Linked DNA regions of Caenorhabditis elegans. The protein of the gene in region 1 interacts with the protein of each later gene in a biochemical or structural test. Each region holds a gene or a part of one and is shown in the gene's direction. Other genes may lie near its edges.

What was found. Proteins that work in one complex are often made in the same cells at the same time.
Region 2: the proteins of sun-1 (region 1) and lmn-1 form a complex in vitro, tested with the Caenorhabditis elegans proteins (one study listed by BioGRID).
Region 3: of the proteins of sun-1 (region 1) and cdk-1, one has a biochemical effect on the other in vitro, tested with the Caenorhabditis elegans proteins (one study listed by BioGRID).

Annotation. Positions count from the first base shown.
Region 1 is NC_003283.11:13,191,151-13,195,522, reverse strand, and holds sun-1 (Sun domain-containing protein 1), read left to right. Parts: upstream 1-1,984; 5' UTR 1,985-1,995; coding exon 1,996-2,377; intron 2,378-2,423; coding exon 2,424-2,527; intron 2,528-2,570; coding exon 2,571-2,774; intron 2,775-2,818; coding exon 2,819-3,238; intron 3,239-3,285; coding exon 3,286-3,597; 3' UTR 3,598-3,821; downstream 3,822-4,372. Other genes in the region: F57B1.1 (G-protein coupled receptors family 1 profile domain-containing protein), read left to right, coding at 274-417, 473-596, 640-769, 815-995, 1,040-1,192, 1,239-1,322, 1,379-1,528. UniProt on the Caenorhabditis elegans protein: Involved in centrosome attachment to the nucleus. Required for zyg-12 localization to the nuclear envelope. Together with pot-1, it is required to anchor telomeres to the nuclear envelope in embryos.
Region 2 is NC_003279.8:8,761,287-8,766,191, forward strand, and holds lmn-1 (Lamin-1), read left to right. Parts: upstream 1-1,754; 5' UTR 1,755-1,769; coding exon 1,770-1,867; intron 1,868-1,956; coding exon 1,957-2,041; intron 2,042-2,089; coding exon 2,090-2,203; intron 2,204-2,358; coding exon 2,359-2,592; intron 2,593-2,644; coding exon 2,645-3,685; intron 3,686-3,769; coding exon 3,770-3,898; 3' UTR 3,899-4,345; downstream 4,346-4,905. UniProt on the Caenorhabditis elegans protein: Major component of the nuclear lamina, a fibrous layer on the nucleoplasmic side of the inner nuclear membrane. Provides a framework for the nuclear envelope and probably also interacts with chromatin.
Region 3 is NC_003281.10:9,745,948-9,749,412, forward strand, and holds cdk-1 (Cyclin-dependent kinase 1), read left to right. Parts: upstream 1-1,524; 5' UTR 1,525-1,526; coding exon 1,527-1,706; intron 1,707-1,756; coding exon 1,757-1,963; intron 1,964-2,011; coding exon 2,012-2,167; intron 2,168-2,218; coding exon 2,219-2,545; intron 2,546-2,592; coding exon 2,593-2,721; 3' UTR 2,722-2,905; downstream 2,906-3,465. Other genes in the region: iff-1 (Eukaryotic translation initiation factor 5A-1), read right to left, coding at 1-26, 76-213, 332-484, 529-658, 1,106-1,206; T05G5.4 (uncharacterized protein), read left to right, coding at 2,993-3,046, 3,090-3,203, 3,271-3,373, 3,420-3,465. UniProt on the Caenorhabditis elegans protein: Plays a key role in the control of the eukaryotic cell cycle. Required for entry into S-phase and mitosis. Acts as a component of the kinase complex that phosphorylates the repetitive C-terminus of RNA polymerase II.

The DNA of each region.
Region 1 (4,372 bases):
GTCAGTTGGTCTAAAATCTATTTTCAAATTATAATATTGGTGAAACCTGAATTCAAAACTTTTTTCATCTTTTAAAATTTTGCAAATATCATTTCTAAACTCCAATATGTTTTAGATTGAACTTTGTTAAAATTTTGGTAAATTACCACAACTTCAGCTTTTCAAAAAATAATTCGAAAAATTTCGCTGGTATTCAGTTTTGAACCAGTTGAGCTTGAAAAAACACTAGCTGAAATGAAATAGTTGTCGCAGATTAAATGTTTAACTTGTAAGGTAGCTGGTAACATTCCACCAGAAGATAAGGATGGGCTCTATTATTTTATTATCACCTTGTTTGTTATGTCCACATTTGCATCAACTATTTTGACTGGAGTTTTCTTGGCTCTTTCTGTGATCCTTTGGAGCCATTTCAAAAAAGTAATGAAACACGTTTTACATAACTTTTTCCAAGGAATTTATTGAAAAAATTCAGATGATATTTTTCTGGTTTTTAACTCAACTGACCATTTCTGTTTTCATAATGTCTTCTTTAAACTTTTTAATTAATGTACCAGCGACATTATTTGCTTTGATAACCAAGGAATTCGTTCAATCCGGTAACTTTTTTTGAATCAATTTTGAATCATTTTTTTTGTTCAGCCTCATTCTACTACATGTCCAATGTAATCGATTTCTGTCATAATGCAATACTTTTCTCAAACTTGATAATTGCAATACATCGGATGTTTGTGTTCTTTTTCAAAAAACACACGGATATTGCTTTTGAAAAGTAGGGAATTCTGAAATTTTTGGAATTTTAATCTACTAATCCCAGACCGATAACATACTTTTGGATGGGAATGGTATGGGTATTGTCTGCTTTTGTTGTAGTGTCTATGATTATGAATAACTGCCAATATGAATATGATGAACGAATTTTAATGAAACATTATGTTTTGAGTTGTGAAACTAGTAGTGGAATTAAAAATATTGCTCCACCGACAATTGTACAAACTGTAAGCACAATAATGAAAATATCCAGTCCAATAAACACTTTCAGATTGAAATTTTAATACAATTTATTCTTCCAATATTTATTCTGGGAATATATATTGCAATTATCATTAAAATAATTTTAATGAAAAAAGCAGCACTCAACAAATACGAGCTCACTATTTTGAAACAGGCGGTTTTTATATTTTGCCTATTTCAGGTCCTGTTTGATTTAAGAACGAAAAAATGAAAAAAAAAATTTCCAGATTTCATCGTCGGTTTTCCTATTATGCCAAACTATCAAGTTTGAAATAGCAACTGCATTTTTGATAAAACGGATTATTAATACGGTTCGTTTTTTTTTTAATTTTTCCATAGCAATCTTGAAAAATTATCCGTATTGCAGACTGAAATATGCGCTGGAGCTGCAACGCCGTGCTTCTTCTTTTTCACTTCAAAAGAAATTCGGAAACTCGTTTCTGTGAGAGTTTCTCTCACTACTTCACAAGCCAATTCAAACTCACAGCAGAGAAGGCAAACTTCGAGAGCGATTTAATTTTTATTACTAAAATCAGTTTCTAAAATGTTTTTGCCAATATTAGAATAAATACTCGTGTTTTAATGAGAACAAACTCTTCGCAAAAAATTTCTGTGCCTGCCAAATCATATTTACTGCTACAGTAACTTTCAAAGGTGCAATACGTCAGCGGTGAGGGTCTCGACGCGATCTTGAGAATTGCCGCAATCAGTGCGGGGCTGCTTGAATTCGAGGTTTCGATTTTCTGGTTTTTTTTTTCATTTTTCGAATTCAGTTCGGATATTTTTTGTTTTAAGACAAATATAAAGCATTTAAAAAGTTTATGCTTTGTAAAGTGCAGTTAAACTTCAATTAATTCATAATTATTTTAATTGAAACAACTTTCTCGCTCTTGAAAATATTGCATTGTTTCTTAATTTCCAAATTACAATTCCGCACAGGCTTTTTTCATTCAATTTCTTTCTAAACTTCCAGATCTACTCGGTATGGCGTTGCGACACACCATCTCACCGCAGTTTTCGAATCGCCACAGTCCTCCAGTTACCCGTTCTGTATCTCGAACAGGAGTTCATCAGCCGCTAGACACATCTACTCCAGTTACTCGGCGAGATTCCCAACCTGGAACGATTACAGGCACCATTCAGAGATTTCATGAGTCGGCTGACGATTCTGAAATTGATCTGAACTCTTCGAAATTTATTTACAAGGAGCATTTTAGCTACAAAGAAATCACTTCGATGAAGAAGGAAATGTGGTATGACTGGCTGGAATATCGCATTCGCATGGTTCGGCGTCGTTTTGTTCCAACGTGGGCCCAGTTTAAACGTACTCTTATGGCTGTTGTTCTTTTTGCTATGTTATACAAGTGTGAGTCGGGAAAACGTGTTGTGGGTATCTAAATGAATAATTTCAGATGCTCGTGATTGTTTATTCGATGGAACGCATCATAATTCAGAAGGATCCTACGCGGATAAAGACGCGAATTGGGCGTCCGAAAAACAGAAATTTCATCAGACGGTACAATGAATGAACAGTCAGAATAAATTTTTATATTATTTAGATTTCCAATCTCCGAGCAGAGTTTTCGGCGCACGATAAACAACTCGATTTCAAAACTGACCATTTGGAAAAACTACTGGAAAACGTTTTGGAACACAGCAAAGGATGGAAAGAGTCGGCAATCGAAGAGCTCAAACAGATCAAATTATGGCAAGCAGAAATTAGCGATGCTTTGCAACAAATGAAAAAGGAAATCGATGATGCGGTAATTTTCAAATTTAATATATTTTCCCAATGCTAATTTTTCAGAAAAGCACAAAGATCATCCACAGTACACCAGAAAAGGCTCCAGAGACCGCACCAACTGCATCGCTTCCTCCCTCTAGCCAGCTTCAACCAATGCACATAACACGCCGAGCACTTCTTGGAGTGAATGTTGCCAACAGTCTTATTGGTGCATCAATCGATCATTCTTGTTCATCACGTCCAGTTTCTGCAAAAGATGGATTTTTCTACGATTTCATGTCATACTTCGGAACGTTCCAGGAGGGATATGCTTTGCTTGATCGCGACGTTCTATCCCCAGGAGAAGCGTGGTGCACATACGATAAACGTGCGACCTTGACCGTGAAGCTCGCTAGATTTGTCATACCGAAAAGTGTCTCGTATCAACATGTCAGATGGAGCGGGATTGTTCCAAATCATGCCCCGAAGCTCTACGATGTCGTGGTAAGCTATATAAAAATTGTGTTCAGTAACTAATTATATATTTTCAGGCATGCACGGACTCATGTTGCACCAAATGGCAGCCTCTTGTCGCCAACTGTGAATATAAGGAACGTGATGGAAGTTATGACGAGCAAGAACAATTCTGTTCGGTGCCAACAATTCAAAATCACTCACCGATCAATCACGTGCAATTCCGTTTCCGCGAAAATCATGGAGATATGCCAAAGACATGTGCTTATTTGATTCGTGTTTACGGGGAACCAGTCGATCCACCAAAGGAAACGCAACCAATGACGGATAATGGAACTGAATCAAAGTTGGAATCTGCAATTGTTAACTCTGTATCAGAAACCGCATAGAAACGCCGTATTATTGTTCCTGCCCAACTTGTTTTTATATCATTTTCACGTTCCCCACTGACTATGAATCTCAATATTGCTTCTTTGAAATCGTTTGCAAATGTTTTGTCCCGCTTTACTATCCACGTTACCGTTTGTATTTCATTGCTTTATTCATTTTTTATTAATGTGTCATGTTCTGTTTATTTCTTGAAAGTTCTAATCTAAAGTTTCAAAGTTTTAAATTGTGTTCTGAATTTTAAGCACGAGAGCAGCAGGGAAGTGGTGATTACAAGAGAAAACTTCGCATCTGCTAACTAGGGAATGGTGTTACCCCTGCAATCGCTAGGAGGACAAAACAAACTTTAAATGACAGATGAGGTCTTTGGCTACAAAAATCATTTTTTGGAATCTGCTTAACTCTGCCCCAAAGCTGAAATTTTCGGCCTTAAAAAGTAGTCCTCTTTTTGCTCAAAGTGCCGTTTTCGTTTTTTTGAATTTTTCCTCTAGCATGAAATATGCACAAAAACACGGTTTCTTTCGTTTTTTGGTAACTTCGGAATAAATTTTTTGGTTCCTGGGAATCATAAAAGTAATTTGGAAACTTTTTGGAAGTTTTCTTTTTTTGATAAATTTTCACTTTTTTCCCACCTGATATATGCACATTTTTTTTCTTCAAAAATAATTTTTCAAAATTTTTTCAAAAAGTGTTTGGTTTGAAAGAGCAGCATTAGTTTGGATATTTCTACGATTTTGGAGGATCAAATGTCATTTTTAGGAGAAAACCACTGTTGTT
Region 2 (4,905 bases), on another chromosome or scaffold:
GCATATTACCAAGAGACATGTTTTGCCCAAGTTCCTCTCACATTTAATCGATTCTCTTGTTTTTTCATTTCAATCTTTTTAGGGATCAAATGTGTTTTAGAGATGCAGGTGTCTAGAGAAAATTGTTTTCCTACTCTTTCATTTCGTATTCTTTTCATTTCACCAAACTTCTCTCTCGCGGCTAATCTCGCCTTCATAATAGAAATTTAGCTTCTAATTTTCGTGCTATACTAATATTCTACCACATGGTCACATCAAATGAGATAAAAACTGTCAACGCGCCAAAATGACACTCTCCCATTGATTTATTGCCCTTTGTCTCTGTGCGTCGACGCTCTAGTGCTCTTTCCAGATGTTGTTTCCTTCTCTTCTCAGCCTCCTTCTCTAGAATTCATTCATTCTGTGTCAAACACCAAAGAAGAACGACATTGTCTTCTCTCACACAAGACTGCTTATGATTTCTCGCTTCCTTCATCTGGCTCTGAATATGTCTTTCAATGGTACATGTTTATTGTTAATCGCCGAGTTTCAAAATTTACACTATCCATATAAAAAAGCGGCAAAACCTCAAAATTTCAGATGTTTGACCACTTCTCTAATACTCTCATCATGCCTCTCCATTATTCGTTCTATTTAACCCTGTACTGGCATGTTGCCAAGTTGTGTATATGTATGTTGTTTACCATATGCACACGTCTTTCCTGCTTCTCTACTTCTCTAGTCATTGGGACCGTGAGCATAAAAAACGAAAGAAAAACTTGAAAATAGTGCGCGAAACGGGAGAGATCAGAGATGAAGGGGTACGCAGCGCTCACTCGCGCGACTAAAGAGAGAGCATTGGCCTGGGCCATTGCCCTTCGAAACAAGATCGAGCGTTTTTCATCGTTTTTGAACCCTCGAAACTCCTACATATCACCTCTCATGCAACTTTTTTACACTAATTTGTGTAATTTGATATCCTATCTTATAGTTTATCAGGTCATTTCTCTTTTGTAGTAGTCCGAAAGTTTTGATTGATCGAATTTCGAAATTCTCCCTAAATTTTCGAAATTTTGTTACTTTCAAATTGACGCGACATGGACGGTCAATCAAAACCAAACAAGTATGCGAGAAATTCCCTTTTCTCTCTTTTTCTCTAATCATTTCAGTCCCATCTGCCTAGTTCTATCGGCAATTTGTGGAAGTGCGCAGATGATTTTTGAAGGCGAGGTGATAACGCCCTGCTAAAGCATTCTTATTCACGAGAGTTTCAAAAAACTATTGAAACGAGGTAAATCTTAGTTGAGTATACCTTGACAATTGTAGTTCTTTGCCGAGTTGCCTAATGTTTGAATTCAACGCTACTTACTGACTATGTTTATGCTTTTGTTTACGTCACTCTCACAAATGTTCCTTATTTCTCTACTATATTTCTTTCTGTTGAAACATTTAAAAAACGAAACAACACACATCTATGTGGAATACTGCCATCTGCCGATTTTGAGGTCACTTGGCGCGCCGTAACTCGCAAATAACCTAACAGCGCCAGATTTTTCGACAAACACACGCTTTCCGAAGTGGTATACACAACGGCCGTGTCCGCATGTTTGCCACACTTCTTTTGAGACAGAAAACTTTTGTTGTATAAAAATTTTATCACAAGAAATATCAAAATGTTGAGTCACGTTCGTGTGGCGCCTATGACGTTTCCTCTCTTCTCTTACATCTCTCTTTGTCTATTTCTGAAACTAAATCCAATATAATTAACTCTTCAGAAAGCAGCGAGAAAAATGTCATCTCGTAAAGGTACTCGTAGTTCTCGTATTGTTACGCTAGAGCGCTCAGCGAATTCGTCGCTAAGCAACAATGGAGGAGGCGACGATTCATTGTGAGTTTTTATTTTGCTTCTCTAGTTCCTGCACTCATAAACGCATTTCTTGTGTTATCTAAAAAAAAACTCGATGAAATGCTTTTCAGTGGCTCAACGCTTCTAGAAACTTCACGTCTTCAAGAGAAAGATCATTTGACTTCACTCAACAGTCGTCTTGCCACTTACATCGACGTGAGTTTTAATTTGGAAAGTATTCATATTTGAAAGTACACTTTTCAGAAAGTTCGTCAATTGGAGCAAGAGAACAACAGACTCCAGGTTCAAATTCGCGACATCGAAGTTGTTGAAAAGAAAGAGAAGTCAAACTTGGCCGATCGCTTCGAGGCGGAAAAGGTACACTTTGTTTATATTCTGATCGCCAAAGGTGTTCTGTGGGAAACTGATGCGGTGGTCTTATTATTCTCGCCGCGGTAAAGTAACAATGCAAATATAAGCTCTCGTTTTGGACGAATGATAAGTGTTGGAATATAGATTATTTGTATTTTCAGGCTCGTCTCCGTCGTGCCCTCGATTCGGCTCAAGATGAGCTCGCAAAATACAGGATCGAGTATGACGCTGCAAAGGTTGAAGTAAAGAAGTTGAAGCCACAAGTCGAAAAACTTGAGAGAGAACTCGCTGGAGCTGAGGAACAAGCCCTCCATGCCCAATCTATTGCTGATCAAAGTCAAGCAAAACAGAAGACGTTGCAGGCACGCAACGATAAATTGGTGGTGGAGAATGATGTAAGAAATTTTAATTTTATCAAAAGTAAATGTTCAATTTTGTTGTTTTCAGGATCTCAAAAAGCAGAACATCACTCTTCGTGACACCGTAGAAGGACTCAAGAAAGCCGTTGAAGATGAAACTCTTCTCCGAACAGCCGCCAACAATAAAATCAAGGCTCTGGAAGAAGATCTCGCTTTTGCTCTTCAACAGCACAAGGGAGAACTTGAAGAAGTTCGTCACAAGAGACAGGTCGACATGACAACCTACGCCAAGCAGATTAATGATGAGTATCAATCTAAGCTTCAAGATCAAATCGAAGAGATGCGTGCTCAGTTCAAGAACAATTTGCATCAAAACAAAACAGCTTTCGAAGATGCCTACAAAAACAAGCTCAATGCTGCTCGTGAACGCCAAGAGGAGGCTGTATCCGAAGCAATCCATCTTCGTGCCCGTGTTCGTGACTTGGAGACATCAAGCAGTGGAAATGCTTCGCTCATCGAACGTCTTCGTTCAGAGCTCGACACTCTGAAGAGATCGTTCCAAGAGAAGCTCGACGACAAGGATGCTCGAATTGCTGAACTTAATCAAGAGATCGAGCGCATGATGAGCGAGTTCCACGATCTTCTTGATGTTAAAATCCAATTGGACGCCGAACTCAAGACCTACCAAGCTCTCCTTGAGGGTGAGGAGGAGCGTCTCAATCTTACTCAGGAGGCGCCACAAAACACTTCAGTTCATCACGTCTCGTTTTCATCCGGAGGAGCAAGCGCTCAGCGCGGAGTGAAGCGTCGTCGCGTTGTCGATGTAAATGGAGAGGACCAAGACATTGATTATCTCAACCGTCGCTCCAAACTCAACAAAGAGACTGTTGGCCCAGTTGGAATCGACGAGGTTGATGAGGAAGGAAAGTGGGTCCGTGTTGCAAACAACTCTGAAGAAGAACAATCCATCGGAGGATACAAGTTGGTGGTCAAAGCTGGAAACAAAGAAGCCTCCTTCCAATTTTCATCTCGTATGAAGCTCGCTCCACATGCTAGCGCCACCGTTTGGTCTGCGGATGCTGGTGCCGTTCACCACCCACCAGAAGTCTACGTTATGAAGAAGCAACAGGTTGGTCAATTATTTTAAAATATTTCTGTCTTACTTTCATGAATAGAAGAAACAAAAAATGTTCATTGTAATTACAATTTTCAGTGGCCAATTGGAGATAACCCATCAGCTCGTCTTGAGGATAGTGAAGGAGACACTGTTTCTTCTATCACCGTTGAATTCAGCGAATCATCGGATCCATCGGACCCAGCCGATCGTTGTTCCATCATGTAATTGAGAGTCGATATTACATCAATCCATTTGGACCTCATTTTTACATCTATCTCTTCCTAATATTCCTTCTTGTTGTGTTGTCCTCGAGAGTTACACTGATCCTCTTCTTTTTCTCTGTCCCTCCTACGTTTTAACCGTGTTCTTGTTGTTAATATACTAGAATATGGCAATAATTTTGTTTTAAGGAAATCTCGAAATTTCACTGCCCTCTTTCCAAGAACACACCTTTCCCTAAGACTAGATCCAATTTCCATTTTTTTGAATTCATTGAGCTCACCGTCAAAATGTAAAATAGCTCGTTTTTAACCATTTGCAACAAAAGCATCAATCAAACTCCCTGTCTTCCAATGATGTTTCTTCCAACTTACCGATCGGTGTCGCTCATTAAAATTTCAAAGTGTATTTCGTTTATTTAACTTCAAAAACATGAAATATTTCTTTTCTTTCTTTACAACTCGTCTATCGTCTATTTTTTTAGGTTTATTCCATACATTTCTAAGATGGTTATGACATATAATTAGGATATGCAAGTACCGATTAAGCCAACTGTTTTTCTTTTCGAATCTATTCACTATTGAGCTCAAATGAGCACATGACAGTCGGTTAAGTGAGGTCATTGCATCACACAATAATAGAGGAGAACGTATTGAATACGGTAATTGGTTCGAATTTCTTGACAAAAATAAGCCCGTTTAGTTCAAAAACTGTAAATCTAAACAAGCCTCGATTCGAAAACTCGTAAAATCTCAGAATTAATACGCCTTTTTCACACCCCTTTTGTCAAAGCGGCTGTGGAAAAGTCAAACATTTGCGATTAGTTTGCTGGCGTTGTCCAATTGTCGAAATGTAAAATGAGATGGACATTTTTATGGGAAATCATCAAAGAGAATTGTTACGGTATCTCATTCCGACATACAGTAAAACTGATAAATGAGAAATAAACTGAGGTTACTGATCGAATAGTAGGTTTGAAGCAAGAAGCTTATTTTATTTATTGAAATTTTCGA
Region 3 (3,465 bases), on another chromosome or scaffold:
TCTCCGCAGGCAGCAACGACTTGAACCTGAAAATCAAAATTTTCAGATTCAAAAGGTGGATGTCGAAATAATTACCAAGACGCTTCCTTCGTCTTTCTCGAGAGCCTCACGGATAGTGTTTCCCAAGTCTCCTTCTGGCATTTTGAGATCGTCTTTGAGCTCGCAAGATTCTGGATCCATGAGCGAGCAGAACCCGTCTTCGATCGACATGAGCTGAAAATTTGATCAATAACATTTTTTACAGCTGATTAACTCATTTTTCAAAAGATTTGTTTAACCGTCCAAAGTTGATTTTTTTGAAAGCCTTCTTAAAAACTAATTAACAACTTACAATGTACTCGCGTCTCTTGACGACTGGGACGTCCATGTTGTGGGTGGATGGGCAGATATCCTCAAGCTTCTTGGTGGTGAAAATATCGATGGCAACCATGTGAACCTTAGCATGTCCGTGCTTTCCAGTCTTGGAGGTGCTCATCTCGACGATCTAAAAAATTTCTAATTAGGAAAATTCACTGAATTATTTTTTACCTTGCATGGTCTTCCTCGGATCATGACGTGCTCGTTCTTGCGAAGAGCCGAGCATTGCTTCGGGAAAGTAGCAGCAGCTCCGGACTCGGCAGAGTCGAATTGCTCCTCGTCGTGATGATCTTCGGACATACTGCAACAAAGATTTATCAATTATTTTAGCATTTTCAACTAGTTTCCAACGAGAAATTCAAAAAATAAATTTGGAAAAAAAGGTTTGCAGGAAAAAATTGTTTTGATTGAGAAATTTGATGCATTTCTAATAAAATATTGATCTTAGCAAGAAAAACACTGTACAAACCTGAGAAAAGTATAGAAATCGAGAGAAAATCAAATGCGCGAATTTTTTTGAAAGGACGTTGTTTGGCTGCGTATCACAATGAAGAATGAGTCGCTACGCAGCCAAAAATTTGGCGCCAACTTCCATCTTCAGACAGAATCGAAGTCCTCACTTTTTTAGGATTTCAAGGAATCTGCTCTATTTTTTGATTTATCTGAATAAATAATTTCCTAAAAATGCATTCGTTGCTTACTTGCCAAATTTCGCTTTCATCATGTAAAATTAAATAATAAAAATTACCTCTCTATGGTCTTCGGGGCAGCAACTCTCGCCATCCACCCTCCGAAGCCAAGATTACGATTTTTCTTTGAAACTCTGTTTAGTTTTGTTGGAAGCCTCATAAAGTAGAACAAATCAAGTTTATGATTATTTTGAGTAGTTATTTTTATATTTTCCGGCCTGTATTTATTCTCTTTTCTGCACAGTTTTGCGTTAAATTTTATCATATGAATGCAATGTTTCACAACAATCCTTCTCAGCGCGTACTCTCCTTTTCGGAATAAATTGTCATCAAAGGTGCATGCCTTTTCACTAAGCAATGGTCTCGCACCGACTGTCCCCCCTTTTCGGCGGCAGTGGAAATGATTCAAAATTACACGCTTACGCCTTTTCTATCGTTGTATTACAATTGTTCTGACAAAATTCATTTCCAATTTTAGTTATGGATCCTATTCGCGAAGGAGAAGTGGCCCACGAGGGAGATTCGGTTTACACACTCAACGATTTCACGAAGCTCGAAAAAATCGGCGAAGGAACATACGGAGTCGTCTACAAAGGCAAAAACAGAAGAACCAATGCCATGGTTGCTATGAAGAAAATCAGATTGGAAAGTGAAGATGAGGTATTTGAATTTTGTAGCAGTTTCGTTTTTTCAAACAATAATTCTTATAGGGTGTTCCATCAACGGCTGTGCGAGAGATCAGCTTGCTCAAAGAGCTCCAGCATCCGAATGTTGTTGGATTGGAAGCGGTCATTATGCAGGAGAACCGGCTTTTCCTGATCTTCGAATTCCTGTCTTTCGACTTGAAACGATACATGGATCAGTTGGGAAAAGATGAATACCTTCCGCTCGAAACTCTTAAAAGTTACACATTCCAAGTGAGGAAATATTTAAAATCGATGTCTTTACAAGAATAATTGTTCCAGATTCTTCAAGCTATGTGTTTTTGTCATCAGCGTCGTGTTATTCATCGCGATCTTAAGCCACAGAACTTGCTGGTCGACAACAATGGAGCAATCAAGCTTGCCGATTTCGGACTTGCCAGAGCTATTGGTATCCCGATTCGCGTTTACACGCATGAAGTGAGTTTGCATTCATTCTGTACACCAATACAATGATTGTCCGGTTTTCAGGTTGTCACTCTCTGGTATAGAGCTCCAGAAATTCTGATGGGTGCTCAGAGATACTCGATGGGCGTAGACATGTGGTCGATTGGATGCATTTTTGCTGAAATGGCCACGAAGAAGCCACTGTTTCAAGGAGATTCAGAAATTGATGAGCTGTTCCGCATCTTCAGAGTTCTCGGCACACCGACTGAGTTGGAATGGAATGGTGTTGAATCACTTCCGGACTACAAGGCGACGTTCCCAAAATGGCGTGAGAATTTCCTCCGTGACAAGTTCTACGACAAGAAGACTGGAAAGCACCTTTTGGACGATACTGCATTCTCTCTTCTTGAAGTAAGATTTCTAAAATAGTACTTTAACAAGTAAAATAATATTTTCAGGGTTTGCTGATCTACGATCCATCACTTCGTCTCAACGCGAAAAAAGCTCTCGTTCATCCTTATTTTGACAACATGGATACGTCAAAGCTGCCAGCTGGAAATTACCGAGGAGAACTCGAACTCTTTTGATGTAATTCATTCATCATCATTTTTATTATTTATTCTCCCGTGCTTTAACCACCTATCGTCTTCCGTGTATTGTTTAACTATCACCATTTCAACTTTTTACCTGTACGATGATTATTTGGCCCTTCGATATTCATGAGTAATCTCTTTTTTCACACCGCGATAAATAAATTCGCTCTACTTTCATGCTCTTTTTTATTCAAGCACTTTGTTCAACGTGTAAATGAGAATAGGGAATTAAGAATTCATTATTATTATTTTTCCATTCTGAAGAATGATCGCTGCAGTGATTCCAATATTCGTAATTTCTCTGTCTAACATTTCGCACGTAAGCTAAGGTAACGAAAACTAATCTAACTGGAGCTATTAAGATTATTCTTGCAATTTTCTTCTTCCCATCGATTGTAGAATTCCTCGATGATCTTTACTGGGGATTCACTTATCGTTCGTGGTCTCCAATTGCACGTCAATTAGAATTGGGACCGGTAGGATATATCCCTATATATAGGATTAAATACAATTTAGAGAATAAATCAAAATAATTGTGTTTAGAACATTTACATTCATCACTCGAAGGTTTCTATTTTGATGGACAAAGCTGATCTTTATGAGAAGAATCAGTCTAGGAAAGATATTTTAAACTATTACCGGGAAGGTATTGTTTAATATTTATTCATTCTCTCGAATATCTGAAATTTCAGAAGACAAGGATTTTGAGCAGTATTTGAATTTTAGAGAAAATCGAAA